Linked DNA regions of Arabidopsis thaliana. The protein of the gene in region 2 purifies or fractionates together with the protein of the main gene of each other region. This does not show direct contact. Each region holds a gene or a part of one and is shown on either strand. Other genes may lie near its edges.

Region 1 (15,841 bases), 580 kb from region 2:
ATGAAAACTTATGTTTCAGTGAAAAAATGGGACTAGATATTCCAATTTTCTTAATGATAGAGTTCACCCATTATAATATAGTAATGACTATTTCGTTGTAATGAACATCTTTACCTCCATCAATGCCTGGCGTGCTGCTTCTCTTTCAAGCTCCAGCTTTCTCTTAGCCTCAGCCGCAGCTTCAGCTGCAGCTTGTGCCTCAGCTTTTCTACGAGCTTCTTCAGCTGCCTTAGCTTCTGCTTGTAATCGCGCTTTCTCTGTTAAGAAAGGGCACATATTATAAACTCAGGTTGCAGTGTGCTTTTATCACTTACAACTGGTAAATGTCACCAACTACAGTTGATTTAGCAAATCAAGGAAGCAAACCTTTCTTCTTTTGAAGCTCGAGTTCTTCTCTCTCACGCTGCAGCTTCTCTGGATCTCGAGTGTCATTCTGATCTCAGGAACACATAGAATTTACGAAAAATCAATTCAAAGGTCAAAAAGGACCCAGAATAGTGGGTTGGAACTTGGAACGCACAACAAACCTGGTTAAGAGGTTTCTCTCGGGCTTTCAAAATTATGTCTGCAAATCGGTTCTTCAAAATAGCAGCCCTGTAGCTCTTTTCAGGAGGTAATTGCTTCTCATTCTGAGCACTATTTCCTAGTGTATTAAAGGGTCAAGGTCAAGAGTGAGATGCCACCTCAGACAGAAGAGCAGAAACATTTTTCTGCCATACTCCTTTTCTTACCATCTTGCTGACAATCCGCCTCAACAGAACTTATTTTCTCCGGAGATGCACTTTCCAGCTGATCCAATCCACCAACAGATGCTACTTGTATAAAGCAACAAAACATAAGTTCCACACCCAAAAACTAAACTTTTGACCACTAACAAAAAATCCACTCACATCCTCTTGTTGGGGAAGCGCTTGTAGCTCCATCCAACATAGGTTCAAGATCGATGGTTCCAAGCCCCTGTATCAGCGCAGGACAGGAGCACGAAGAAACAATTAGGTTATCCTAACAAATCTGGGAACCATCAAGTAAGTTGAATTTTATATATATCAGGATTCAAACAAACTATGACATCCATTTCATATTGTTATGGTTCCGCAACAGTAAAAAATTGTGGTCCAAGAGTTCCTCCATATCAAATTATATCAACTTTATGACAAGGTAACAAAGATATCCACATCGACATATGCATTGTGTCGCACCAAATCTCAGTTATTCATGTTTGCATGTTATTCCAGACCACTATATACCTTTGATGCCCTCGGTAAACTTGACATTTTAGGATCACCGGACACACTTCCCAAGCTATTACCTAGATTATATGCATCAAAAGAGGAGCAATCAGTAGTACAACCCAGGGGATAGTCTAATCACCATAAAATCAATAAAGGGAACACGAAAGGCAATTTAGTTTTAGTTAGTAAACAAGTGAATGTAAAAGGCCTCCTAATTTAAAAATTATAAAATAAGTGCGCTAGCAACGTTCACTGCATATCAACAACAATATGGCTCCAAGGCCACTTCTGAGAAAATCTGAGGTCACGAGAGTTTGGAAATGACAAATGTAACAACCATACCCCAACAAAAGTTCTATGGAGAACAAGAATGTCAATATAAACAAGCAAAAGAAAAGATACCATTAGAGTTTCCTAACACCAGATCCTTCTCTATCGTGACAGGAGAAATGCTGGATGTTGGGTGTTCATTTTCACCAATGTCAACAACTTCATCATCCAATTCACTCCCTACAACGAATACAGTAAAAAATGTTACTCTGATTAAAGAGCCAAGCAAAAAACTTTATCGAACCACAAGCAGGCTGTGAACTAACCATCACAATGTTGCATTGATGAATTCCCTGGCACTGATCCATGCAGAAGCTGCAATAGATAAAAGTTTCCCTATTAGCAGTGATGATGCAATTAGATGATTCAAACATGAGATATAGACGAAGATATACCTCTATCTCACAGGGTTCAACACTTGATTTTTTGTTTTGGATCTCACGCAAATGCTCGTCTAAGAGATCCCGCAACTGAAACAAGGCATGGTCACTGAGATCATTAATGTCAATCTCAATCTCATCATCCCCAATCCCTCCTTCATTTGAGTTGTGATCTCTCAAGAAATTTATTAATTGTGCCGGGAACTCAGTCAAGGACTCCAAATCCTTGCCCAGCTTGAGTCTATCCTCATCAGTCATAACCCGTTTAGCAGGATCTACGACATTCTCACAGTCTACTGCAGTGGTCTTCCTCTTCTTAGCCATAGGCACAGGTATTACGATATGTTTTTCCTTATGGGCATCTAAGTTACTCGGTTCAGTATGAACTTTAGTTCCGGATAATTTCTTCTCAAGGGTCTTCCACCTCACTTCGAAAAACTTACGAAGTGTATCAGCCATAACATAAACATCATTACCAGGTGGATTATACGTCATTGCATTGCTGAAGGTAAGCCGAACATCAGCAGCAAACTCTGACGGACAGGAATATGTCCCCGAAGTTAACTTATTCTTCACAGTTCCTAAATCCATAGGATGCTCAATAACATTAAAATAGTCCAGTATATTCAGCTTGACAACATCCACTGGAGTATTGAACACCCAACCATACTGATGTGACATCAATCGTTTCAAAAGCGCCTCGCATTGCTTCATCAGAAGCATAACCGCAGTAGTGACAGGAGTCGGTTTAGAAGCAGCACTTATAGGGTTCACCGTCTTTCCTGGACCCGTGGAACATCGCGACATTCCAAAACTCTTGACTCGAGTCAAACCACTAGCAGAAGAGCTAGTGAGAGCCACTGTTCTAGAAAGCTCAAAATTCTTCTGGAAAACTCGTATTTGTTCCAGCTCTTGTCTTAGCCTACGAATCAACTCCTTCCTATCTGATGATGATAGGCCAGATAAGGGTAATACCATTTTCGAGACACCGAAGGTTTCACCGACCTTTCTTTTTGAACAATTGGAACCCTCTGAGACCCTCGGACTATCAGATCCTTCATCATAATCTCCACCGGGTGCCTCAAAACAATAATCACCAGGGAAACCACCGTTTCTCTCTGTCATATCGACGAAATTGTGAAATAGATTCCCTTAATCTCGTGAAGAGCTCCGGATCAGTCTAATCCTGCAGGAAACGAAACATCTCGTATGACGGATTTGCTTCAGAAAGCTAATCTCCGAAGACTCTTATGACTCTAAATCAGATAATCTCGATCCGATAGTAGATAGATGATTCAAAACCCTAATTTAAGCGATTCAAATCTGAACTCGTCCTGCAATGAAGACTTCGAATTGCCCGATGGAAGTAAACACCAAAATCGTGAAAAGGAAGAAACTCACCGGCTGAACTTCAGAGCAATTGAGAAAATCGATGATCCAACTGAAGCGGAAGACAGAGAATCTAAGAAGAAGCGAAACCTTAGAGGAGTAAAAACCCTAAAATGTTGATATGGAAATAGATAAAAGGCAGAATGACGAATACGACCGAGAGAAGTAGAGAGATAAATATCTGTTGATCTCTTCACTGTCTGATTCCACACTTAACGGTGAATCGGTTAACGAGTTTCGGTACGGGAACACTCAGGAACAATCAATAAACACCGTCGGATTTTAATCGAACAGATCTAGTGACTAGTGTAGTGAGACACCAATAGATATTTTAGATGCGAAGATTTTTATGAGTCAACGCATTCAACGAACCGCTTGCCGTTTTTGTTCACTCTATCGGCTCGTCCTGACGTTTTTGTATCCAATGGACAAAATGCTCAATTTCGTTATTCATTTTTTTTGGAAATGATAAATTCTAAATTTCTAAAACAGAGATAAAACATTACAGAGGGAGTTGGGGAAGAACAAGAAGGTTCATTCATGTATGTACACTTTGAACAATGCGACTTAAGGCTTCATTGTTGTAAGAAAAAAAGGACAATCATATGCTGAAACATTTGCGTGTCAAGCGGCAGATAACGCTCCTAGTACCCTTATCTACCTGCAATTGCAATTTGCAATGCATTAAAACTTTGAAATCATCAACTTCTGAATTCATAAACAACAATAAACCATCTATAAGGAGATAGATTTCGGCTTTGTAGCTAGCAAGAAATCTTACAAAATCAAAATTATTTTGGAAACTTCCTAGTCATGTTTTCGAGCCGCAAAGGATCAGATCTAGACTTGTACACACAAAAACTGACCGTAGTTAAGCGACCTCAGATTGTAATGATCAAGGACACGACCAAAAATTACTCCTGCCATGTCCCACAAATTGCAGCTACAACACGAACCTGAACCAACATAGTTTTAGAAGGTCAGAAAATATTAGTTATTAAGTGAGAGAGGCAGGGGGCAGAGATACGTGCCTTTTTATTTCAAGGAAGGAGCATATGGTGCTGGGCATGGAGAGATGGCTGTATCGGGCAACTGATTTAAAAGATCAACTGTTGTCGTAAGGCATGCAACTAGTATTTTCTTCTCCAGTTGGACAAGCCGGGTTGCAACTCGCTTCCTAGGACTCAAACTAGGATCTGCCAACTGTTGATTGGGAATTCTATCAATGTCATGTCATGCAGGAAAACCAAACAAAAAAATGTGTTTGATCTGTAGCGATCACAAAGTCTAAAGACATACCAATGCATCATCTTCTTTCGGAGTAGTAGGGTAGCCAGATAACCGTCTCATGAAGTAATTAGCAAGCTGATCTAGTACTGCTCTTTCCATACAAGGGCTCATCTACAAAAGAGCTTGAGAGTTAAACCTTTACAAGTGTGTCAACAACTTTCTATGTAGCAGTAACATTGGAGGCCTCACATGTAGGGACTGAACATTTGATGCAATCAAGGAAATATCAAAGATTACTTAGAAAAAAGTTTTGCCAGGTCACTCATCCTCTACCTACCGGACAAACTGGACCTTGGGATGAAATTACTGACTGCATTTCAGAAGGATCAGACATGTAACCCAACCGCAGGTAGGGAAGCATGTCTTGAACAGCTTCTCTTTCTTTTCCCACACGAACCTGAGATGGATGCAAAACCAAAATCAGACAGAACATCTCAAAGTAGACTTGTTGCCATGGGAAAGTCATACCTGAAATACTTGTTGGGATAATTTTCCGTTCCTTTGAGCAACCATTCTCTTGTCCTGGTATTGAGGATCCTCAGTGTTCAACGCTGCCTTGAATGTGTATGACGCATAAAACATGCAAACAGTGAGGAATTACATGAACACTACACTAGTGTTTACAGTAACGCAACAAAGTTTTGTAATTACCTCAACTATTACTCTATCATAAGGGTTATCCTCATCAACAAATCCATAGTTCAGAAGCAATTTCGCATTTGGTTGTGGCCCACACCTTCAAATAAAGGAGGAAATGCAAAAGTATGAAAAATAGATCAGAATGAAAAAGCTAGCTGTAGGAAGCAATTTGGCTTACAGACGCACCAGACAACTATAGGATCCCCGGCCTTATATGGCCTATCTACCACGAGTTCAACAGCACCATCAACAGCAGTAAGCATTGCCTTGCAGTTGGAACAATAGGCCAACAAGGGAGGACCAAGAGGAACCAAAGCAAACCGACGAGCCAAACCGACATTCTGAGTACAAGAAGAAGCATAACAATCTAAATTAGAAGAAGCAACAAGCACCACCTGACTACTTGCTTAAATGATGAGCTGCAAGCTAAACTTTAGATTCAGCGATAGAGTAATAGAGGTAAGACCATATTATTATATTTTACTCTAACTATTCTTTCAAATACAGAAAGACATTCAAGTTGTGAAAAGTAAACCCCAAAAGAATGAAAATTACTTGTAAATGCACCACACATGACTGAATGGCAACAAATGCCTGTTTGAAAATCTCAAATGAAAAAGCTTCAGTTGGTATGTCAAATGGGTATTGCTGCAAAACACAAATAAAATGGTGTAAGTCCGAGGCCGATGTTTAGCATTCCATATATTAAAATGACAAGAAGAAGCCGAAATCGTAGGTAGCCAAACACCTGAAACAAAGATCCAGCCATGAACCAGACAGTGTCAAGCTCATTGTATTCTCTTTTGATCCCTTCAGCCCTCTCAAGAACTTCGGCCTGAACCATGTTAAAGAAGTTAACCACTAAGAACCCACTATACTAGTTCATCACACGTCCGGCATATACTAACGCAATACCTTGGTAGGACTACCAGTTAGGTAATCTAACTCAGCCTCTGACCACAGCAAAGGGGATTCCGCATCTAACTGACCTCTTCCTCTTTGACGATCAAGTTCTCTTATATAGGGATACCATACTGATTTCTTTCCTTGTTTCTTCTCATACATCAAATACAAAGCTAGACAAGCCAGTTCGGATAATTTGTTCGTCGTCAACAGTTCAGCTGTGTGATAAAGAGAGTTTATATGGCTTCAGACAAGAATCAAAACACCCGTAATCCCACCCTTATCTAAGAGAAATCACAAAGTCTAATCCAAATATTATAGTGCATAACTGATGAAGTAGCTTTATGGAATAGGAAACATAATAGAGAATGTCTCATACCAATAGTCTCGTTTCCCAAAACTCTTTCCAGAGTAACCACCAGAGAATCAGGAACTGAAAACGCCACATCACCCTTCTGTAAAAGACAGGTAATTAGGAAAAATTTACCATCAAAACCCGGAAATTGATACTTGGAATACCCTATGGAACTGTGTATAAGCAAATAAAACTGTTGAAATGCTAAGTCAACCACCTGAAGATCCTCACTAGCAGCAACATAATGTATAGGTTTATGCTTCTGATCATGAGCTGGTCTCTCCTTGAGAATAACCTTGCAAGGTGGCAACCCATTCTTATCCATCCAAAACTTCAAATCCTCGGAGTCATCTCCTTCCTTCTTGCTCGATACTTTGCTCTGCCTCTCGTCTTCCTTTGGTGAACCGCTCGCGACTAAAGTATCTGAGCTCGAAACGCACAAGCTTCTTAGATGAACCGATCGCGATGAAGAGATCAATTTATTGTTCCTCCACCGAGGAAGTGAAGAAACCCTAGAAAGTGGGAAAGAACGAATTGGAAGAGAGACGCATTTCGTATGGAAACATGTGATAACCCCTTCCATCGGAATTATCAATTCCAAAATTCCGATTATGTCGAAACGTAAAGATTCTCCGGCGACGATTCTGAGGATTTTGCTCCGTTCTTCTTTTGCGTTTTCTCAGATTATTTTTTTCATTGAGGATAAGAGAGGGAAATGGAGAAATCAGGTTGAAAACGAAATGGGGAAGATGCGACATAAAAAATGAGTAAAGAAATAAAAATCTACGTGGCGCTTAGCGAGAATGGGCCTGAAACTAGCCCACCACAACAAGGAGTCTATCAGATTCCCCAAACGACACGCAGTTAAAAACGAGTTTGATACGACGCCGTTGAGACTTCTCTAACCCTTGCAAATGATAAAACGCTCGCGTAAGTTAGCACGAGAGATACACGCGCAAGGGGAAAATTTTTTAAGTAAAAGGGAAATAAAAGATTTGAGGGTCCATAATGGTCTTCTCTACTTGTTGGCAATTGTGACAAAAATATGAAACTTTTTAAACCAACAAAAATGAACAAAGAAATCAAAAGTAACATTCTCAAGATTCACACTACGGTTGTCTTTGAGCCAAGTTTTGTTGGTGCTTCTCGACTTTCGCTGTTTACATGGAGAACTTCTGAGGAACAGTATCGAAATCGTCTCCAAAGTCGTACCTTTGTCTTTCCCTTCCTACCTGAAAAAAAGTAGTCAAACGGCTTAGTCAGAGAAACATGGGTTTCCAGGACAGAAGACTAATGGAATATGGTATTAAATTACCTTTCCCAAGTATAAAGGGTCACATGATAAGCTCTCATCCATGGCTAAGAGATTCTTCGACAGACCAATAGTCCTGAAATTTTTATCAAAACACATAACTTGTTTGATGCTACTACTTTCCTTTGGCAAAACAGTCATCTCCATATCAACTTGATTCCAAGTGCTAATTATGCACTCCTTATTACGAGTTTCAACATTCAAGCAATGTTTCCCAAAAAAAAACCATATCAAAACACTTAGTTCTGTAGACATACCTTTGTATAACAGAATCCATGATCTCAATCATCTCACTAGATTTGTACTGCTCAGGGTCCTCCAAGAATCTGACCATCCCGTCTTTCTGGTTGATAAGGGCATGTATCTGACCATCCTGGATCTGCAGGTTTGTAAAGAAAAAAATGATATTGTCCAACATACCAGTTAAACTAATAAAGCTAGCTTCCAAAAATCAAGTGTGGGACACAATACCATCTGAAGCACATGCATTTCCGCCTCCTTAGCATTACCAAGTTGGACCATGTTGGCTATATCTTGAAGCGACAGGGTCAAGTACTTCTGTGTCAATCTCAGAATGTTACGCTTGTAAAGGGATGACACTGCTTGCTTAACTAATCCAAGGTTCTTATCCTGAAAGAGCATTTCGCCCAAGTTATGGAAGGGGATGAATATTTAATATTGGTACAGAAACTATGGTAAATGTTTAGAGGCAATTTACCTCTTCAAATTCTGCATTCCTGGCCACAACCAATGCCTCTAGTTCACCAATCTTCCCGTCGTTGTAACAATTACCCAGTTCAATGTAAGGCTGAGAAAAGGGTGAACGATAAAATCATAAGCCTGAAAATAGATTTAGCTGGTATGGAGTACAAAACAACTGAAATCTTTGGACTGAAGTGAAAAAGGGACCAGACTCCATTCAAACATGAAAAATACAACTAATGATCGGGTTCAAACTTACTCCGGTATAGTTCTTGAAGCTCCTCTGTGCTGCTGTAGAAGCACACTTGGGGAGAGTGTTAGTAAACTGCACAAGTAAAATCAAACAAGATTATAAGAAAAACATCATAAGATTAACCAATGCTTGAAATTAAAATCAGACACAGGATGTAATTGTGAAACCAACATTTCTCAAAAACATACAGTTGATTCAGACTCGTGCAATATGCTCCCATGACCGAAAACTAGATAAACAAAGAAAGTAAAATATAAAGAACACAGCCTTACCTGCCCATTGTGAATGAGAGACACCAATATGTACTTTTTGTACGCCTCAAGAGCTATGGCATTGACTTGATGCATAGGAGCAGTCACAACCTGATACAAGTACTTAGGTTGAGTTAAAACTAAAACGAAAGTCCTTAATGTATAAAAAGCACGTAAGAAAAAATAAAAATGCCTTACATTGTAAAGAAGCTCTAATGCTTTCTGAAATCTCTTCAGTCCAATACAAATCATTCCCCTATCAAAAGTCCAGGTAATCAAGGACCAGAATAAGAAAATACTATAAAACAAACCCAACAGGGATGGATTTAATGTGTTTACACATCTATTGATCAAAGGAAAAAAACAGATAGCAATGAGGAAAAATTGCTTACCCATAATAGCTATAGAGAAAAAAGTCTCTTGGCTGGTCAATCTCCACGATATCATCACTAAGAATGGAGAAACCAGATTTGTACGATTTCGCCTGCAAACAGAGTTGAAGAACATCTGGATGCAATGCAGTCAAACGCTTGGAGGAGACCTGAAGCTTCTGAACAGCGTTTAACAGTGGCCCTACTCCTCGCAACGGATCTCCCAGTGCTATAACATGGTCTTTCAATATCTTACAAAGAGATACAACTGCAAAATCAATATAATAACATCATCCATCTCCCCAAAGAAAAAAGAAAAGAAAACACATTAAGACAAGATAAGCTCTCATTAAGTGTCAGTAAATTACATTTATAGCTCGCCAAACGAATCTGCCCAGCATCACAAGAATTGATGAACCGTGCAATTATCGGTATCTCATAAGCAGCTTTCTCCTTCGACACTGGACCACAGGTAAGAACCTCACTGTAACAATCAAACCATACAAAAAACTCAAAGATCAGAAATCGAATAACATAGACAATTCTCCTTGTTAAACTTCGACCTAATCACACACATCAAGTTCCAATAACCAAAATCATCAATCAGCCTCAAAGTATACACAAACTAGTAACAAAAACCTAATCTACCAATAGGTTAAAACTCACAGGAAATACAGGTAACCGAGAGAGTGCTTCGAGGCGTCGAGCTGGTCAAGAGTAGAGAAATTAACACCTGGTTCGGCTCGGAGCGAGTCTTGAGCTCCTCTCAAAAGATCGTGAAGTGCAGATAAATCCTCTGGACTCCCCGATAAACCTTGGATTGACGTTATCACAGCCTCCACCGAGTTCACAGCTCCGATCATCTTCGATACTAAGACGAAAACACAAAAACCCTAATCGATCGCCCTTTTTCTCCCTCTCAAAATCTTTTGCTAAACTGTTTGTTTAATTATCTCTGGATCTTCTCCATAAAAATACATGCTCTCATAATATATATACGAACCCTCCGAACGGTTAAGAGTCTAATACATTACTCTAGAATAATAAACCAATATCTAACCGGCTTTTAAACCAAATATTCCCGGTTCGAAATGTACCAGATGGTAATTGTCGGTTTAGCCAGACCAATTTCGGGGATGGCCTTTTATCATTCGTCTTTCCAGAGAAAGAACGAGATTGCGATCACAGAGTGTCAAAGCAATCTGCTTTTTCTCCTCTCAGATTCAAAGGTTCTCTTTGAAGCTTCGTAGGTGGTTATACTTTGATGGCGGATTATCATTTCGTGTATAAGGACATTGAAGGAGCGTCAACTCAATGGGATGATATCCAGCGGAAATTGGGGAATCTACCGGAGAAGGCTCCGGCTTTCAAACCTCCGGCGTATACTCCGGCGGAAGACGAGTCTTCAGCTCCTAAGGATCAGGCATGGTTTGATAAGAAGACAGAGGAGGAGCTTGAGGATCTTGAGGACGACAAAGATCTCGACGATGATCGCTTTCTCGAAGAATACAGGTTCGTAGATCGAATCGAACATTCTGATTTTTGTATTTACAATCTTAACTTTCCCTGGAGAATCCTTGCCTTGGTGGATTGTGAATTCAATTTTCTCGGATCTGTTGCCATGTAGCTAGGGAATGCAATTATCAAGCTCTGGTTTTTCTCGATTCGTTTGTGTTTTGGATATGAATGCAATTGAGGGTAGTATCTTATTTGAGATGTTGATGAATAGGCTAAACATAATTGTGCAACACACTTCATGATTCACAGGCACTAATGTGTTTTGATGCTTTCATAGGAAGAAGAGGTTGTCTGAGCTAAGAGAGGCTGCTAAAGTTAAAAGATATGGAACAGTGACTCCCATCTCGGGCTCTGATTTCGTGAGGGAGGTTACGCAAGCTTCTGCTGAAGATTGGGTTGTTGTATGTCTCTATAAAGATGGGTATGTTTTTTCAAGTATTCGTGAACTCTTGTTGAGCCATTCTTTACTACATGCTTGAAACACTATTAACTCATGTTTATTTCTTGTTGTTCTCTGATAGTGTTGCAGAATGTAGTTTGCTATTGGGTTGTCTAGACGAATTGGGTAGTAGATACCCAGCAACAAAGTTCGTTAAGATAATATCTACTGATTGTATTCCGAACTACCCTGATTGCAATCTTCCTACCTTGCTGGTGTACCACCATGGCGCCATCAAAGGAACTCATGTAGGCTTAAAGAGCTTTGGCCGTAGGTGCACCCCAGAGAGTAAGTTTGAATGAACCCTTGTTTGTCTGATGTAATCTGTGCTTATTTGTGTTTGATGATTATGTCATGTCTCATCTCTAGCCTTTGTCTGATCTGAGACCTGATGTGACCACATTGGCGATTGTATCATGCTTTGAGCAGATTGGTCTTAGGCACATGTCTAACATACTTGCAACTGATTTGGTTTTTCAGGTGTAGCCTTACTTCTGTGTCAATCAGAGCCAGTTCTTAACGATGGCAAAGGAGGAGACGATGACTCCTCGAGGGAAGCTGTGATGGCTGGAGTTCGAAGACAGTTCATAGAACGAGTGGTGAAGGACCACGAAGATAAGGATAACGATGATGGTGGTTACAATAGTGATTAGAACTTCAAAGCTTCTCTGTTTATCTCTGTTGGTTATTGCTTGTTGAGTTGGTGACTGGTAAACAAAAGTGCTGACTTCTTGTGTGATGTAATGTTTTTTAAACATTTTGTAACTTTTGTTCTTTTGAAAGAGACAGGAACTTCATGTTGTTTTTTGATATCCAGGTATCACATGCCGAATTTTAGTGCTGGATCTAAGCCTGTGAATCCATGTAAGTTTAGAATAGTCTTTGTTTTGGACAAAGTAATAATCAAATTTGGAGAATCTCAAATCAACTGAGATGTTTTAGTTTTCATTCATGTGCAACTCGAACTACTTCACAGTTCACAAATATACTGCAGATACCAAACCCAAGAACTATAAACATCCCCAACACAATAGAAGCACACTACCTTCAAAATGAAGCTCCCTTTCTCAAAACTTCTTTATATACATACATAAACAACACTAATTCTGAGTCTGAGTTCTTCCACAAATTGTCTCTCTGGTCACAAGTCGTATTCCCCTCACCCACATCTCTGCACACACCAACCCACCTTCACACACAAAATGAACCTCCTTGTTTTCCGTAGTCACTACCCGGAAAATCCCTTCCTCCTCCGCTCCATCGCCTTTCCCCTTACGGTTCTTCCTGAACCGCTGGCTCATCCCGATCTCTACTTCCTTGCACACCACAGTCCTCTTCCGTGACTTTCCCCAACTTAGTACTCCACTTGATTCCAACATTCTCAATCCTTTCCCATGCTTCTTTCCTTTCCCTCCCTTGGTGTGTTTCATCACACTGCTTCCTTCTATCACAAACCTCCGAGACAACTCATTACGGATCACCTTCTCCGCATCACCAGTCGCGAGATCCAGCAGCTTTTCCCCTCTTCCGTTCTTAGCATTGCAGTTTGCGCCACAGGAGATTAGGTATTCACACATATGTCCATGGCCCTCTCTGGCTGCAAGCATGAGCGGAGTGTAGCCATCTCCATCCGGGATGTCTAGACTGTATCCTTTTCCACTCAAAAGCTTCACTGCTTTGACGTCTCCACGCCGTGCAGCACAGTGTAAAGCATAAAACCCGCCTGCCATGTTTCTGCTGTCCTTCTCGAGAGCAAACTCGAGCATCACCTTCTCTATCACGTCACGGTTACCGTTCTGTTCAGACAGAGAGACTACCGTGTCGCCAGAGTTGTTATACAGCTTCACGTCTGCGCCTGCGTAGACTAAGACTCTAAATGCTTCAACGTGGCCATTCATGGCCGCTAGCATTGCAGCCGAAAAGCCTTCCTCATCTTGATAGTCTAGGTAGATGTCTTGAGCTTTTACAAGCGCTTTAAGCGCCTCAGCATCTCCTGCTTGAGCCCCATATAGCAAAGGCGAGAATACTGAAGCGTTGCTTGAATGTGGAACAACACCGAACCGGATCAGCTCAAGAATTACTCGCTCTAATCCAAGAGACCACTTGTTTGACTCAGCGATCGAAACAGCAGAATGACCAAACTTGTTCACTAAACCGAAATCAGCACCATCAAGGGCGAGAACCTTGACGCACTCTGGATGTTTGTGTTTTATTGAGATCAACAGGGCTGTGTTCCCTACATCATTCTTCGAGTTTATATCGCAGCCAAAGCCAACGAGTTGTTGTATGATCTCCACTGATCCGTCACGTGCAGCAATATGAATCGGTCTGAGTTCAATGCCTCGTGAAGTTTTGATAGGAGCTTCTGGATCGGCGCCACAGTCAAGGAGGACACTGACGGCTGCCTTGTTGCCACAGAGGACAGCATGGTGTAGAAGAGTCCGACCGTTGTGAAGAGCGTTTGGAGACTGGAGTTTGAGCAACAAACGCAAAATGTCGCCACTAGTTTCAAAGTATTCTACAGCACACCAGGTTAAAGGATAGGGCTCAGCCACTCCAGCTCCCACCCGAAACTCTTCTCCAGTGTTAGTATCCCATGACCATGCTCCAAGCCTCACCATGATATCTGTCTTGACGCCAGCCTGTGCATATCATTGAAAGAAAAGCTTTGATGTCTTAGATACATACTCTCTCCTTGCAGGGAACAAGTTTTCAATTTTGCAGAGCCAAAATTACCTGTAGTAGGACGCGGACAGCAGAGACTTGCCTATTGACAATGGCAGCAACAAGAGCTGTACAGTCTACATTTGTGTAAAGAGAAGGTTTCGAAGATTGAAGAAGAAGCCTATCGGTTGAATTAGCATCTACACCACACTGTAATGAAGCAAAAACATGAAGAATTATCTACTGTAAGATGGCTATTGAACAATTCTAACCGGTCACTTTTAAAACCACAAGAAATGAAGAACTTACTTTGAGCAAGGTCCCTACGACGTCCACAAAACCCCTGCAACAAGCAGTGGCGAGAGCATGCACAGCAACCTGAGGCCGAATAAGATCAGTTCCCATAAGCAGCTCAACGAACCTCGAGCGTCCGTGACAGCTCGCCCCTACTAGAGCTTCTTCACAAGCGGGCTGAGAAGCACCAGCTTTGAGTAGAATCTCAAAGACATCGAAATGACCTTCCCTTACAGCAACAGTTGTTGCAAATCCCCTGAAGAGCTTCTGGTTCACATCAGCTCCAATGTTCTGTGAGATGATATTACAGGAAAAGTCAGATCAGTGTTATAAAATTAGAAAATATTTTCTTAAGCTACTACACTGCTAAGTGCGAAGGACACCACGTGAGGTGAAAATCCAGAGGCAGAAGAAGACAAAAGAAACTGTGTATAATAGTAAAGTTGTACAATAATGCAAAGTGAATAATTGAAAATGGATCTACATGAACATTAGGGAACAACCCTGACACAGAGGAGCATGGCTTAAAAGGAAAGATGGAAGTATGCAAATATAGTATTCGTCTACTATAGATGCAGCCAATGACAAGTGACAACACCTAATGGGGCGGGGCCTCAGGTTCTGTTTCACAAACAAGTTACATGGTGTTATATCAACACTTCTTGTCGTACTAAATATTCATAAGTTCCTTTCAGGAAAACAAGAGAGAATCAAATCAAATCATTCAATTATCACTGCAAACCAATAGTGACATTTTGGCACTGTTGTGTCTCAAAATATCCCTCAACGAAGACCAATCCAAATGCACATGTTTTTTTCCCAGATCTTAGCCTAATATAACTAACGCTGTTGATTTCAAATCTAATCGCAAATCCATCATTAGCATATATGGTCTAGCAAAGGCTAATGAGAATCTCAATAAAAGTAAATCTGTGACGATGCAAGCAAAAGAAAAAGTTGTGTGACTGACTTCAAAATTGGAAAATAATCCCCGCCTGACATGCAAATTTGACTCGCTAAAAGATGTAATTTATTAGTATAACATTTTTGGCAGCTTGGAAGGATCCTAACACTCCACCAGTTAAGATTAAAGTTAGTCAACAGATTATGAATTTTTAAAAACTCTCACGGAATCCGATCCACGTTTTTTAAAAAACAAAAAATGACTAGAGCTAAGTATAGACAAGTGCTAGTAAACGCCACTGAATTAGCTCATTCTGATTAATTATCATTAGATCGAAAATTTTATTGAAATTTACCAAAATTTTACAGGAATAATTTCTTTCATAGAAAAGGCAGAGAGAAGTAATAATCAGCGTTCGTTCGAAATTTGAATTTCGAAAAAGAGGAAAAAGTAAAGTAAGCTTCAGACAGAACATATATTTGGGGTCTTTAATTCAAGAGACAAAAAGGTACCACGAATCACACCACTAAGCAGAAACGCGCAAAAACAAACGCAAAATGGAAATCACGAGGAAACCAATTCTCCATAGATTGCGTCTTCCATTAATGGAACGTA
Region 2 (14,540 bases):
GTTACTTTGTTTATGCGATTGCTGTGCTTGCAAAGATTGATCCTTTATGGGGGAAGAGATACAGACCTCAAGCGTATACTTTAATGGCGGATTACTTGACGTTGGGGAAGAAAGGAGCCAAGTCGAATTCGAATTACCCGCGTTTGAGATGCTTTGATCTTTTCAAGCTTCATTCTTGGGCTGGAGGGTTAACGGAGTTCGCTGACGGGAGGAATCAAGAGAGTACAAGCGAGGCTGTCAATGCGTATTACTCCGCTGCTTTGTTGGGGCTAGCTTATGGGGATACACATTTGGTGGCGGCTGCTTCGATGGTTCTGACGCTGGAGATTCACGCGGCGAAAATGTGGTGGCAGGTGAAAGAAGACGACGCTATTTACCCGCAAGATTTCACATCGGAGAATCGTGTGGTTGGAGTGTTATGGTCAACAAAGAGAGACAGTGGCTTATGGTTCGCGCCTAAAGAGTGGAAAGAATGTCGCCTTGGGATACAGTTATTACCGTTACTTCCGGTATCAGAAGTTCTGTTCTCGGACGTGACATTCGTGAAACAGCTCGTGAATTGGACAATGCCTGCTTTGGCTAGAGACAGCGTCGGAGAAGGGTGGAAAGGATTTGTGTATGCTTTGGAAAGTATGTACGACAAAGATGGAGCAATGGAGAAGATTAAAGGATTAAATGGGTTTGATGATGGGAACTCTTTAAGTAATCTGTTGTGGTGGGTTCATAGTAGAAACAATGATGATGATGATGATTATGAAGAAGACGATGAAGGTGGTTATGGTGGTCATGGCGGTGGCGGGAAGTATTGTTCCTTTGGTCATTATTGTCATTAAGCTTTAATAAAAAGTTGTTTGCGTTTTGGTTTGTTATTAATCAATGTTAATTTTAGCTTGTTTTATATAATGAAGCTTCATATAATTGAAATGATTCGATGATCTTTTCAAATCCTTTCTTCTTAATTACACCAATGATCTCTCTATGAGAATATCCACATATATACAGAATTCTATATGTCTAAAGTATTATAAAGGGAAGAATCAGTCATGTGCATGTATGGTTTGTGTATCAAGTGAATTCTGTCATGATCTTGAAACTCCTTCTCCAGAGAAGCTAAGGCTGCTTCATAATCATTATGGTTGTTGATATGTTCCATTGCAAACTCATTCAGATATAATAGACATCCCTTGTCGTTATAAGGGCATATGATTGATTCTTCTTCTTCTAATGATCGTTTCGCAGATGCGAGAGGGATATATAATGATAAGATAAGTGTTACCGAAAGAACGTAGAGAGTAGTACATGGAAGCACAAATCTAGACGTCATGGTGTTTTTAATGCTTTTGAAGATTTCAAAAAAGAGATCAAAGAATATGGCCACAAACAAAATCTGAACAAGATAGATTGTGATTGGACTCTATATATAATAGTCGATGACCAAAACAAAGTCTTTTCCTATTTTTAGTTGGGATCAAGTTGGTTTTTTTGTGGATAAGCTAGTGCTTCATGATCATCGAGTAATAAGTTTTTTTTTTCGTTTCAAGAAAATATGTTTTTTGTGTGGATTTTGTTTCTGATGAAATGATGGAATAGACGTGGCTGCAAGTTTGGATAAGGTGGCTCGGCTCCACTCCGGTTTATCTTTTGTTTACCCAAATATAGATTTGTTTTGTTTTGGTCACTGGTAATATCGAAGTATCGAATACGTCTGTCTGTGATGCTCGTATAAAATAAAACCAGTGGTATGGTTGTAGTGGTTGGTGGATCGTGATTCGTGAACTTTCTCTTAGATTCGGAAATATTCGTCACACTTTGGGCCCACGAGTTTTAGCATTTTCCGAACGTGGTAAAGCCCATGATTTGCTAATACTAGCTTCCAAAGTCGTCACACTACTCCATCCAATCACAAATGAAATGACTAACAAACATTTTAGAATAATCAATATTTTGCGAATAATTTCATTACTGTCTGACATTTGATTCTCTTTAATCACACATCATTACATGATCAAACGTCATCAATAAGAGCTAAGAACGTCGTCGTCTTGTACAAACTTTTGGTTATATCTACACACTACTTTACTACATTCCTCGTGTAGAAGGAAATGGAAAGCGCACAAAAGCGAAGATAACAAAAAGAGTTTGAAATTCAAAAGAGAAGAGCAACACGAAGAATCTTGGAATTCGAGATCCACTATTTCACGGCGGAAAAGATGCATTCGCCTCTTCAGACTCAGCAGCCGGAGCAGCGATGCTGGCCGATGACCTCGACGGTATCGGAGATCGAGGAAGTTCTACCCGATGAGGACTCCGATAGAACGACTCTTCTTAACGGTGAACCGTTACGTCGTCGAGTTTCCGGGAAGTCGCCGGTTGACGAAGGACCTCGTCGGATTTTCCGGCAGCAATCGTTCGGTCGCGATATCGGCCACGCGGCAGCTGAAACGTATCTAATTACTGGACTTAGCTTCAAGCTTCTTCGATACCTCGGGTACTGATCTCGATTGTCCCTGTTTTTGGATTTAGGTATATTGATGATTACGCTTAGGGAGGTAATTCGTGTAGATATTAGCTGGCTTTGCCTTGCTCTGCAAAGAATCCAATGATATATAAAAGTTCTCTGTCTTTTATTTTGGAACTTTACTCTAATTATGAAAGTTACTCCATGTGCTGTTGTTTTGCTCTTGTTTAACTTCTTCTTTTTATATTTCCAGTTGAGCAAGGATTGATCTAATTGTTAAGTTTTGTTCAGGGTAGGCTATCGATGGATGACAAAATTACTTGCCCTTACATGTTATGCTATGCTTCTTATGCCTGGCTTTCTTCAAGGTTTGATTTTTTTTTTTTTTTCTTTGCTGATAAATAAATTCATAGAAAGGATTTTTCCTTTTGATTAAGATGTTGTTTTAATTGGAAAATTAGTCTTTGATTCCTCGTCTCAAGTTTGTATTATCTTGTGCAGTTGCATATAGTTATTTTTTCTCAAAGCAAGTCCGGAGGAGTATAGTGTATGGAGATCAACCAAGGAACAGGTTTGTGTGTGAACTGAATAGAATCTTACCTTCTCCTTTCACATCGGCCTTAAGTGGTATGTTGAATGCCTGCTTTTATCACATCACCTTTGTCTTGAGATTATTGATGTATGAACGGTGATTTGATAGGCTGGATCTGTACTTGCCAAGCAACAACGATGGCTTGAAGCCGGTTGTGGTTTTTGTGACGGGTGGAGCTTGGATTATTGGGTGGGTTGCACATCAGATTTACAGCATTCTCTTCTGCATAATGTTGAAATTTGTTTGTTTTACAATTTCTCGTGTCCCACTTATAGAAGTTTTCCCCTTCACTGTTCTTTTGTTGATGTTTGAGTTACAAAAAGAAAAAAGTAAAGATCATGATGGGCTCTGTATTCTTATCTCACTGACTCACTCAAGTTTCATCTTCTTGTACTAGCTGGTTGCTTGTTAATAAGTTCATGTTTGCTAATCTTGTACTGATATTTAGGTACAAAGCTTGGGGCTCGCTCTTGGGAATGCAGCTAGCAGAAAGAGATATCATTGTAGCATGCCTTGACTACAGGTAAACAAATTACACAATTCAAAAAACTAGTCGTCTTTTATGAATATAGGAAGAACTTTCATGCATTTACCAAGCAATCCGTTCTTTATGGTATAGGAACTTTCCTCAGGGAACAATTAGTGATATGGTGACTGATGCTTCTCAAGGAATCTCATTTGTCTGCAATAACATCTCTGCATTTGGAGGTGACCCCAACAGGTTTCATCTCATTGGCTTTGTTTTTATTTACCATTTGATCTTCCAATTGGTCTCTCGGCTATTAAACTGCATGTATCTGCTTGTCTCTCTAGGATCTACCTGATGGGGCAATCAGCTGGTGCCCATATAGCCGCTTGTGCTCTATTGGAACAAGCTACTAAAGAATTAAAAGGAGAGAGCATCTCCTGGACAGTGTCCCAGATAAAAGCTTATTTTGGATTATCTGGAGGGTATCTTCTAAGCTTTTGGATTCCCGTTGGCTTCTATGTGCTTTTTGGTCTACAGCAATTGATCTGCTTATCATTTTGAACTTCAATAGGTACAATCTATACAAGTTGGTTGATCACTTCCATAATCGGGGTCTGTATCGCTCGATTTTCCTAAGGTAAATGCTTGGTTAACCAAATCCTAAACGCAGTCTGATCAGATCTAATGTTCAACTCCAACTTGCAGCATAATGGAAGGAGAAGAGTCCTTTGAGAAATTCTCTCCGGAAGTAAGACTGAAAGACCCAGTTGTTGGAAAAGCTGCTTCTCTTTTACCTCCTATTATACTTTTCCACGGATCCTCAGATTATTCCATACCATGCGATGAAAGGTATATATGATCATCTTCTTGAAGTGATACATTACTGATGAAACCTTTTGGGATACTAAAACCACCTCGTTTGCAGCAAAACTTTTACAGACGCTCTGCAAGCTGTTGGAGCAAAAGCCGAGCTTGTTTTATACAGCGGAAAGACACATACTGACTTATTTCTTCAGGTAAGCCACATAAATCAGTCAACTTACCTTACATTGTGTCACACACACAAACACTTAGCTCAGTGTGAGTACAATAAAACTCATGAGAGTATTGTTTATAGGATCCCTTACGAGGAGGTAAAGACGAACTCTTTGATGACATAGTCTCTGTGATACATGCGGAGGACAATGATGGGCTGACCAAAGACTCGTTGGCTCCTCCCAGAAAGCGTCTTGTACCAGAGTTGTTACTGAAACTGGCTCGTGAGATTAGCCCTTTCTGACTGCCAAGAAAGGAAAACAAGCTTTGTTTGTTGATCCTCAGTTTTTACCTTTGTTAGTTGCTGTGTTTTTAATTGCATCAGTAGAACATCATGTAAATAAAAACAAACTTTGTTGCTCCACCAAATTTATTTGACCCATGTAGATTTGAACACATGAATATGATTACTTCCACAAGTTTGAAATCTAATAAAAGCTAGTAAAGATAATATCGAGTTTTATCATATTCTCAAAAAGGTGATTGAGATGTGACAAACACTTGATAGACTTATACATGTTTTGTAACTATGAAATATGATGGTGATCATAAGCAAATTGGACTTGTATAAACAGACCACAGGTGATGTTGATATAACTATCGTTATTCACCTTAATTTGGACCCACCATTTGCTTCAACTTGTGGCTCCTAATCTCTAGAGACTCGTAGCGACTTGGCAGATTCCAATTGGCTCCTTGGATCTCCACCGTTGGCCAAATCAGCTTGACCGACTTGATGTGGAAGGAAACAAAGTTAGGACATGCCATATCTATTATCTCCAACATATCACCAAAAAAGACACCTAGCATCATTCGAAGATAACAAATGGTTAAGAGTCATAATCTTTTTAACAATGCTAAACAGTGATCATTTAATTTTTATAATTGAAATCATGAGACGATGAGAGAAACCTGAACAGTTAGAACATGGCAAAAGTTAAGAATCAAGATAAACATTAGGCTAATGGTCAAGCCAAAGAGCTACTAAAGTTTCCAGCTTTACCAAAATAGTAGTAGATGATACAAAAATAGTTAGAAGTTGCACGTTTCAGAACCTAGGTAACATGTGGATGGGTCCTATAGAAGATTACATAGGAAGAGGTGTTTACACTTATTGAGGAAGAAAGAGAGAAAAAGTAGTAACTATTGGTGCCATTGCAAAGATATAAGAAGACAATTAGTTTTTTTCTTTCTTTCACATTTCGTGCTGGTTGATGATTCCAAAGCTGTAAGCATCTCTGCACTGGACCCCTTCTCAAAAACTCAGCCAGCCACAAGATGATCACTCAACATCAAACCCACAAACTTCTCGCCACGTGTCCAGCCCTCAGAATTCTATCCTTCCTTTCCATTTCCATTCAACAACTAATATAGCCTTCTTAGTCCCCTGCTGCCTTTACATACGATCTCACTCACCATCAAACAACTACAACATCTGCGGTTAGTATGTTGAAAGTAGAGAGTAACTGGGCACAAGCCTGTGATACATGCCGATCAGCCGCCTGCACCGTGTACTGCCGGGCTGATTCTGCCTACTTGTGCTCCAGTTGTGATGCTCAAGTTCATGCTGCCAATCGTCTTGCTTCCCGCCATGAACGTGTTCGAGTCTGTCAATCATGTGAGCGAGCCCCGGCTGCCTTTTTCTGCAAGGCAGATGCTGCATCTCTATGCACAACCTGTGATTCAGAGATTCATTCCGCAAACCCACTTGCTAGACGCCATCAACGAGTTCCAATTCTGCCCATTTCTGAGTACTCTTACAGTTCCACGGCCACTAACCATTCATGTGAGACAACAGTGACAGATCCAGAGAACAGACTTGTGCTTGGTCAAGAAGAAGAGGATGAAGATGAAGCAGAGGCGGCTTCATGGTTGTTGCCTAATTCAGGGAAAAACAGTGGTAACAACAATGGCTTCTCGATTGGGGATGAGTTTCTGAACCTTGTTGATTATAGTTCGAGTGATAAGCAATTCACAGATCAATCCAATCAGTATCAACTAGACTGCAACGTACCTCAGAGGAGCTATGGGGAAGATGGAGTTGTTCCACTTCAAATTGAAGTATCAAAGGGCATGTACCAAGAGCAACAGAACTTTCAGCTGAGTATCAACTGTGGCTCCTGGGGAGCTCTTCGAAGCTCCAATGGTTCCCTCAGTCATATGGTAAGCTTTCATATATTTAATTCAGATCCGTTACTATGACCAGCATGCTGCTTCTTTCACACAAATCCATGAAGTAAATTTCTAAGAATGTCTTTGTTACTGTCATTAGGTGAATGTTTCATCTATGGACCTGGGAGTTGTGCCGGAGTCAACAACGAGTGACGCAACAGTATCAAACCCAAGATCGCCCAAAGCGGTAACAGACCAACCACCTTACCCTCCAGCTCAGATGCTCAGTCCAAGGGACAGAGAAGCTAGAGTCCTGAGATACAGAGAGAAGAAGAAGATGAGGAAATTTGAGAAGACGATAAGATATGCTTCAAGGAAAGCGTATGCAGAGAAAAGACCACGGATCAAGGGCCGGTTTGCAAAGAAGAAAGATGTCGATGAAGAGGCAAACCAAGCTTTCTCCACAATGATAACATTTGACACCGGATATGGAATTGTTCCATCATTCTGATGCTGCTATGGCAAAACTAGACTGCATGCTTGTAAATTACTTCTGGTTTGAAATTCCTGCAAGTTATTACCACGGTTTTATGCATATAGGGTCTGTAGTTTACTAGTTTTGCCTAACTAGTACGAGTTAATTAGATATACACTCATACTTAGCTGCTGTAAGTTAATACAAATTTTGCCCACTTGGTAGAAGTCCTCTTATCTATGAAATACTGCCCTACAGTCTAAATTCAAACTGATGCTACAAAGAGATATGCATTAGTATAGCTAGCTGTACCAAGAACAGTCAACACGTAACTCACCTTGCCTAAGTTCAAAGTTAATGATTCCTTTCTTGGTGACACTTTCCACATCACTTTATCACGTAGAAGATAAATGATTCCACTTATGCCGCCCCAAAGACAATTTCGCACATCCCTGAGAAAAGAAAGTTGTACTCAATATGATTTTATACCAAAAGTAGATTACAGAGACAAGTGTAAACATGTAAAACTCCAATAAAATCACACACTGAATAGTCAGGTAACAAATAACCAAGAATCCTGAGTGAACAATGCTAATAGGTACAATTACATCAACGCATATTCTTGTACTGATTAGTGATTAGCATTGGTGCTAAATCCATTCCCACGAGGTTGTCTCGGATAACAAGATTCTATCACTCACAACCACTACTAGCAGAATATGTCAATGCCTATGGACCATCCAAATGAACAAAGATATTCAGTGTGAGAAATCTATTTCTTGGTCTATCTTTTAGAATAATAGCTCACTTTTTCCAAGGTATATACTGGCACTAAAGAATAACGACGCAACCAAAAGAAAAAGGGTGACACTGTAAAGCCTTCACTTTTTGCCACCTGGAAAGGGCCAGAGATCAACTTATTTACCACTAGGATAGCTTCCCACTTCAACGGTTAAGCTGATGAATTCATGTACCAAATCAATACTTTTTAGCCATAAATGAGTCAGTTTTAGTATCCACATGAATTTACCTACCAGAGTGTTGTAAATTATGTTCTTTTGGGGCCACTTACATGGATCTCATTCATTCACTGCAGCGAGTTCTCAGACCACCAGAAAATTTATTCAGTGATCTGTTTTGATCATGCAACATAAACTTATAAGCCACACAAGCAAAACAAAGATATCCCATGTTGCATATAATACGAGCTAGCATATCATAAAGAAGGAAACTTGAAGTAGCAAAGTTTCTACTAAATTTCTTGTCAGGAATTTTTAAAATGCAATGACAACCACTTGGAGCACTATGAGTTTCAGAGCCAATAGAATGTTACTATTTGGTGTGGATTCGAGCTAGCACGTGAAAGTGCATAAAAGTGATTACCTTTTGCCAAAGGTCACTGCACTTTTCCTCAGATAGTTTCTCACAGCCATGGAAAGTGGAGAATCCGCATAAACGTACAATTACAAGCTTTATATGGTCCCTCGACTCTTATTCTCTTCTCAGTCTTTGCAACTAAATAGGGTTTTCGTTAATCTGAAAGAAGCAAAGTATTCGAAACCACGGAAACCTGATAAAGAATGAAAACAAATAAGCAATAGTGTTTTCTTGAAAATCTCGATGCAACTTTGAGGATATTGTTACATATGATCTATTACTCGTAACAGTTATCCGAAGGCCTACACATGTGAGAGAAGTTCCAAACCGCTACAACAATAAACTTAATTAGAGACTGTCAACGAGCAATAATAAGCAAAACTACTTTTTTCTTGAGCTACAAGTGAAAAGGCCAATACACAATTTACTCTTCATGAACTCGAACCACGTTACAATCTCCAAAAAATTTCATCACCAAAGCACTAAAAGCCAAAGATGCCTCAACTTATCCAACTTGGCAGGATAAAGATCTCCAAAAATGCTTACTAAAGAACCTAGAATCTTTTCTTTAGAATTCAATGATCATATAACCATTTCATAACAATTCTAAATGCCATTACATTCATCGTAAAACCAGTAAATAACAAGAACTTGTATGTTAAGTTCCAATTACCAAGCAAAAAAAAACTTTTCAAAGTTTAAAGTTCAAAATGGGAAAGAGAAGTGCGGTGTAAGCAAATATGAAAGAGGAAGAGATGCGAAAAGTGTATCCTAGGACCAGCATTTTATACAAAAAAAAAACACTCACTTTTCAGCTCTTAAGGCATAGAGTGAAGGTAGCCATATGAATTTGGCCACTAGAGCGTCCGTCAAATCTCATTCTTTTTGGACCACATAATGGGTATCATACATTCACTGGACCCAAAAGCGTAACTGGAGCTAGTCCTCAAACCTAGAGAGTATCGTATCCTGTAGCTTCCACATAGTAAACATTATGAGCATAACACCAACAAGGCAACTCCAAGTACTAATGGTTATTAGTACAGGAAAACCCACGATGCTAAACACATGAATGGGTCACCAAATAGAGTGAAGATGGTTAAATTGCATCTATGGATCATGTGGACTAGTAAATGAGTGTAGCAGAAAACTTCACAATTACCTCTGTGATCTTAGAAACATGTCCTGAAAATTCCATACAAGTGTCGTTTGTATTAGATTACTTCCACAGGTTGAGATCTAATAAAGCTACAATAAATAGTATAGAGTATCATCATAAACCCAAATTACAGAGATGTGACAACACTCATGAGTCATGTTTTGTAACTACTTACTATAATGGTTACCAAGTGCAAATTTCTACATACTATATATGATAAATCTAATTATTGCTCATGTGGACTCCAAAATGCCTTTTAAGTTTTAACTTGTGCGTCAGGTAAATTCTAATTTGTAGTCTCAAGACTACTTGGCGGATTCGAGTTTGATCCTAGAAAATCCACCGTCTCTATGTTTTTCATGTCACTTTTCCGATATGATTCTCATTACCATGACTTTATGAACCAGATTAAACATTATAACACTTTTCATCAGAAAATCCTTCGAAAGTTTCAATTGCAAATCTTTCTAAATGATGCAGATGCATTCACAAATAATGGAACAACAACTATACCATATTCACGAGTTTGTCTAACCTTTGTATAGGTAGTCAACCCATAACAGTTGGTGATGGCTCTGACACTCGAAGCCTTACTCGGAGAGATACCTGAACAGTAATCACAAGGTTCAGGATGAATATTCAACCACTTAAACTTTGTATAAAGCCAAAGAGATAAAACGAATCTAGCTTTACTTTAAATAAAATGCATATGAAAATAGTAAAAGGTGATACGAAAAAATAGTAACAATTTGCCTGCAACACCATGGCATTATCCGGACCACTTCCTCTTGAGAATCTCAGTATGGCAAGTGGCAAAACCTAAGCAACTTGTGAACGGGTCCCAACGAAGAAGTGCATAGGAGGAGATGTTTACACTTTACACTTTACACTTTACACTTTACACATAGGCCTTCCCAAAAGCTCAACTAGCTGCAAGAGGATCCAATAACATGTAAGAGCCACTAACGCTGTGCCACGTGTAGGCACTCAGGATTCGATCTCCCCTCTACTTATTCTCTCACACCAGATATAAGCTTTATTAGCCCCTTCTTTCAGATACCAGCTCCCACACCATCAAACTTACTACATCTGAGTTATTATGTTGAAACAAGAGAGTAACGACATAGGTAGTGGAGAGAACAACAGGGCACGACCCTGTGACACATGCCGGTCAAACGCCTGCACCGTGTATTGCCATGCAGATTCTGCCTACTTGTGCATGAGCTGTGATGCTCAAGTTCACTCTGCCAATCGCGTTGCTTCCCGCCATAAACGTGTCCGGGTCTGCGAGTCATGTGAGCGTGCTCCGGCTGCTTTTTTGTGTGAGGCAGATGATGCCTCTCTATGCACAGCCTGTGATTCAGAGGTTCATTCTGCAAACCCACTTGCTAGACGCCATCAGCGAGTTCCAATTCTACCAATTTCTGGAAACTCTTTCAGCTCCATGACCACTACTCACCACCAAAGCGAGAAAACAATGACCGATCCAGAGAAGAGACTGGTGGTGGATCAAGAGGAAGGTGAAGAAGGTGATAAGGATGCCAAGGAGGTTGCTTCGTGGCTGTTCCCTAATTCAGACAAAAATAACAATAACCAAAACAATGGGTTATTGTTTAGTGATGAGTATCTAAACCTTGTGGATTACAACTCGAGTATGGACTACAAATTCACAGGTGAATACAGTCAACACCAACAAAACTGCAGCGTACCACAGACGAGCTACGGGGGAGATAGAGTTGTTCCGCTTAAACTTGAAGAATCAAGGGGCCACCAGTGCCATAACCAACAGAATTTTCAGTTCAATATCAAATATGGCTCCTCAGGGACTCACTACAACGACAATGGTTCCATTAACCATAACGTAAGGCTTTTGTATATTTGTTACCCCTTCAATTTAGCATCTTCCCATAACGCAGCAGGGTGAATTCTTTCATCATACACACAAATCCACTGATCCACTGCCAACAGTTGATCTATAGCACATAGAAATTTCACCAGAAGTCTATAATAAAAACAATATATGCTTCCTTTTGCATCGACTCTCTTTAGTCCTCTTACCAGGGGGATTGAGAATGTCTTTGTTTCTGTCATTAGGCATACATTTCATCCATGGAAACTGGTGTTGTGCCGGAGTCAACAGCATGTGTCACAACAGCTTCACACCCAAGAACGCCCAAAGGGACAGTAGAGCAACAACCTGACCCTGCAAGCCAGATGATAACAGTAACACAACTCAGTCCAATGGACAGAGAAGCCAGGGTCCTGAGATACAGAGAGAAGAGGAAGACAAGGAAATTTGAGAAGACAATAAGGTATGCTTCGAGGAAGGCATATGCAGAGATAAGACCGCGGGTCAATGGCCGGTTCGCAAAGAGAGAAATCGAAGCCGAGGAGCAAGGGTTCAACACGATGCTAATGTACAACACAGGATATGGGATTGTTCCTTCATTCTGATACTCCTGTGGCAAAAAGAAAAACTAGATTGCAAGCTGTAAATTACTTTTAGTTTGAGATTATGTTAGGTTTGGTGAAATTCTTAGCTTCAAGAAGTATTACTACTGTTGTGCAAATGGGTTTGTAGTTTTGGCTAATTAAAACTATAGTATTCTTCTTTCTCTGCATTAGTTAAACAAAACCAGTCTAATTGGTACAGATCCCCATTTGTGAAATATGGATCATCAAGAAGTGAAAACGCAGATTTCACCTTGCTAACTACTAAGAGGGAAGCCAAGGTTCAAAGCCAATAACTTCCCGATAACCTGAACATGTGACACTTTCACGCCTCCCTGACAACAAAAAGATTCTACAATTCAAGTTGATAACACAGACTCCTCAGCTGTAAATCACAACTTCTTACTAAAATGAGTCATATCACGTTCCTAATTGTAGAAACCATCAGCCATATATGTTCTCGGCTTCAAGAACTGTAAGAAGAAATAAGTAATAACAACCAAGTGTATAGCTTATACTATGTGTTAATGTTAAGTGATGGATTCGAGACCTCACGTGAAAAGTTCATAAAGTGATATAAGGATGCTGCACTTTGCACTTTTTTGCACTTTTCCAAAAATCTAAGGATAGTTCAGATCGATTCTCAAAGCCATCAAATTTTAAAACCATTCCCAAACTTTACATGGTCCCTGGGCCTTCATAGATTCTCACTCTTTTAACTTCTTGCTTACAAAAAAAAAACCATTCTCCTTAATCTGAAGTAGGAAAAAGTCTGCAACTACAGCATGAGTTTGACAGAAAAATTATAACACTCTGCTTTCTAAGGTTCTTATCTTGCTTCAATGACCATATACTAAAATAGCAATTTCCTCCACATAATCCACAAAAAACTTTGGTGTCATGTGAAGAAGGCCTGAGAGTAGTTCCTAACTAACCAATAACCATTACAAAGGAAATCCACAGACTGACTAAGAAGAAGTAAAGACAGAACAAATGAAAAATGCCAAAACAGAACAACACAAGCACAGCTATATCTGAACACGCCTTAAAACACCATTTAATATATAATCATCTCTATACTTACCAGAGAGTCAGAAACCAGTATAAACCCTAACATTTATACAAATCGGAATCAGTCACCATCAAAATATAAACCCTAACATTCATTCAAACTGATTTTCGATAAAGAAACTTACTTTCAACCCGTCACAATAGATTTGGGATGATTTTGGATAAATTTGAGGAAAAATATGCGAAATTCAATAGATTGAATATGCAAGGGTTTAAGGATGTGAAATTCAATAGATTGAAAAAACACAATTTTTTGCTCAATTAGATCCAAATTCATCCCAGATCGATTTTGTCTGACGAGCTGAGATTAAAGGAGTTTACCAGAAAACCCCAAATCGGGATTGTGAAGTGAAAAGCCCTAAATTTTGAGCGACGATCGATCATCAAACTTCGAAATATTCAACAATGACGCACGCAACTGGTCTTGTCTAATACTAACGGGCTGGGCCAAAGGATCTGATATAAGGCCCAATTATTCTTGCGCGATAAACTTCTGTTTCAGGGGACGGCCCAAGTAGTCTTCCGAACTAAGCTTATCTTCTTTCAGGAAGTTTCCTTTTTTGTTGTTGCATGATCATTTTCTATCTTTATCTTATCAAAAGATAATAATCTTATCATTCACGATGAGTTATTCTAAGCATTTCGACAACGAACTTCATAATTGCACAACGGATAGTTTTAAGTAAATGAATGATATTTTTAATCATCTCATTGATTTCAGAAAGATCCTCCTCGAACTATCCTCACTGAGAATGCAGAATAATTAACAAGATCCGCGGCCTTTTGAATAATTTACTTTTCTTCAAGTATATCAAACTTGGCTTCTCTATTGGGTGAAGAGGGTTTGGTGGTAGTTGTTTGTCTTCTTTTTATTTCTCTACGTATAATTATTATAAAATTATACTCTTCTTTTCCAAATTTATGTATATAATTATAAATCTTTGTTTACAGCATCATCTTCAAATATCCATCATTTAATTATCTTCTGACAAAACAACAGAAAAACAAATAAAACCCAAACTTTGGTACGTAGTTAAACGGTTTAAAAAGTGATACCAAAGAAAGAAAATAGATAAGATTAGAGGCAGAAACTTGAAGTAATGTTTTTCTCGATCAGAACAACTCATGATGGATGATGAGTTCTTGGATCATCTGTGATAGAAGAAAAGTCTTGATCCAATTCATCCATAGACGACGGAGAAGAATATTTGTCATGTATGCCTCCTCCAAGCTTCTTCATGGATGTGATAACCTGACGAAGCTCCAAGTTTTCTTCTTTAAGACTCGAGTTCTCTTGAATAACAAGATCATTGTTGTCGGAGACTTGGTTAAGCTTATCTA

What was found.
Region 1: the proteins of COL1 (region 2) and COP13 purify together in Arabidopsis thaliana (affinity purification with western blotting, with the first as the bait; one study listed by BioGRID). This does not show direct contact.

Annotation. Positions count from the first base shown.
Region 1 is NC_003076.8:4,592,399-4,608,239, reverse strand, and holds COP13 (Proteasome component (PCI) domain protein), read right to left. Parts: upstream 10,373-15,841; 5' UTR 10,271-10,372; coding exon 10,074-10,270; intron 9,892-10,073; coding exon 9,776-9,891; intron 9,676-9,775; coding exon 9,429-9,675; intron 9,293-9,428; coding exon 9,235-9,292; intron 9,148-9,234; coding exon 9,058-9,147; intron 8,858-9,057; coding exon 8,792-8,857; intron 8,639-8,791; coding exon 8,549-8,638; intron 8,461-8,548; coding exon 8,302-8,460; coding exon of another isoform or gene 8,254-8,301; exon of another isoform or gene 8,210-8,253; coding exon 8,088-8,209; intron 7,907-8,087; coding exon 7,834-7,906; intron 7,751-7,833; coding exon 7,679-7,750; 3' UTR 7,405-7,678; downstream 1-7,404. Other genes in the region: BET9 (bromodomain and extraterminal domain protein 9), read right to left, coding at 115-257, 367-433, 528-643, 732-815, 891-957, 1,248-1,309, 1,635-1,742, 1,829-1,877 and 1 more; AT5G14275 (uncharacterized protein), read left to right, coding at 3,233-3,451; AT5G14260 (Rubisco methyltransferase family protein), read right to left, coding at 4,367-4,534, 4,631-4,732, 4,899-5,018, 5,090-5,176, 5,273-5,357, 5,447-5,601, 5,816-5,908, 6,009-6,095 and 3 more; AT5G14240 (Thioredoxin superfamily protein), read left to right, coding at 10,672-10,919, 11,203-11,346, 11,447-11,652, 11,845-12,017; AT5G14230 (ankyrin), read right to left, coding at 12,465-14,006, 14,101-14,238, 14,338-14,613. UniProt on the Arabidopsis thaliana protein: Component of the COP9 signalosome complex (CSN), a complex involved in various cellular and developmental processes such as photomorphogenesis and auxin and jasmonate responses.
Region 2 is NC_003076.8:5,168,934-5,183,473, reverse strand, and holds COL1 (CONSTANS-like 1), read left to right. Parts: upstream 1-5,576; 5' UTR 5,577-6,000; coding exon 6,001-6,717; exon of another isoform or gene 6,718-6,826; coding exon 6,827-7,177; 3' UTR 7,178-7,383; downstream 7,384-14,540. Other genes in the region: AT5G15870 (glycosyl hydrolase family 81 protein), read left to right, coding at 1-833; PCME (prenylcysteine methylesterase), read left to right, coding at 2,211-2,488, 2,750-2,826, 2,960-3,029, 3,159-3,239, 3,499-3,573, 3,670-3,771, 3,864-4,001, 4,091-4,156 and 3 more; AT5G15853 (uncharacterized protein), read right to left, coding at 5,167-5,367; CO (B-box type zinc finger protein with CCT domain-containing protein), read left to right, coding at 10,777-11,538, 11,772-12,131; AT5G15843 (uncharacterized protein), read right to left, coding at 11,092-11,245, 11,563-11,679, 11,778-12,136, 12,426-12,463, 12,571-12,580; bZIP3 (basic leucine-zipper 3), read right to left, coding at 14,323-14,540. UniProt on the Arabidopsis thaliana protein: Putative transcription factor that may be involved in the light input to the circadian clock but does not affect flowering time.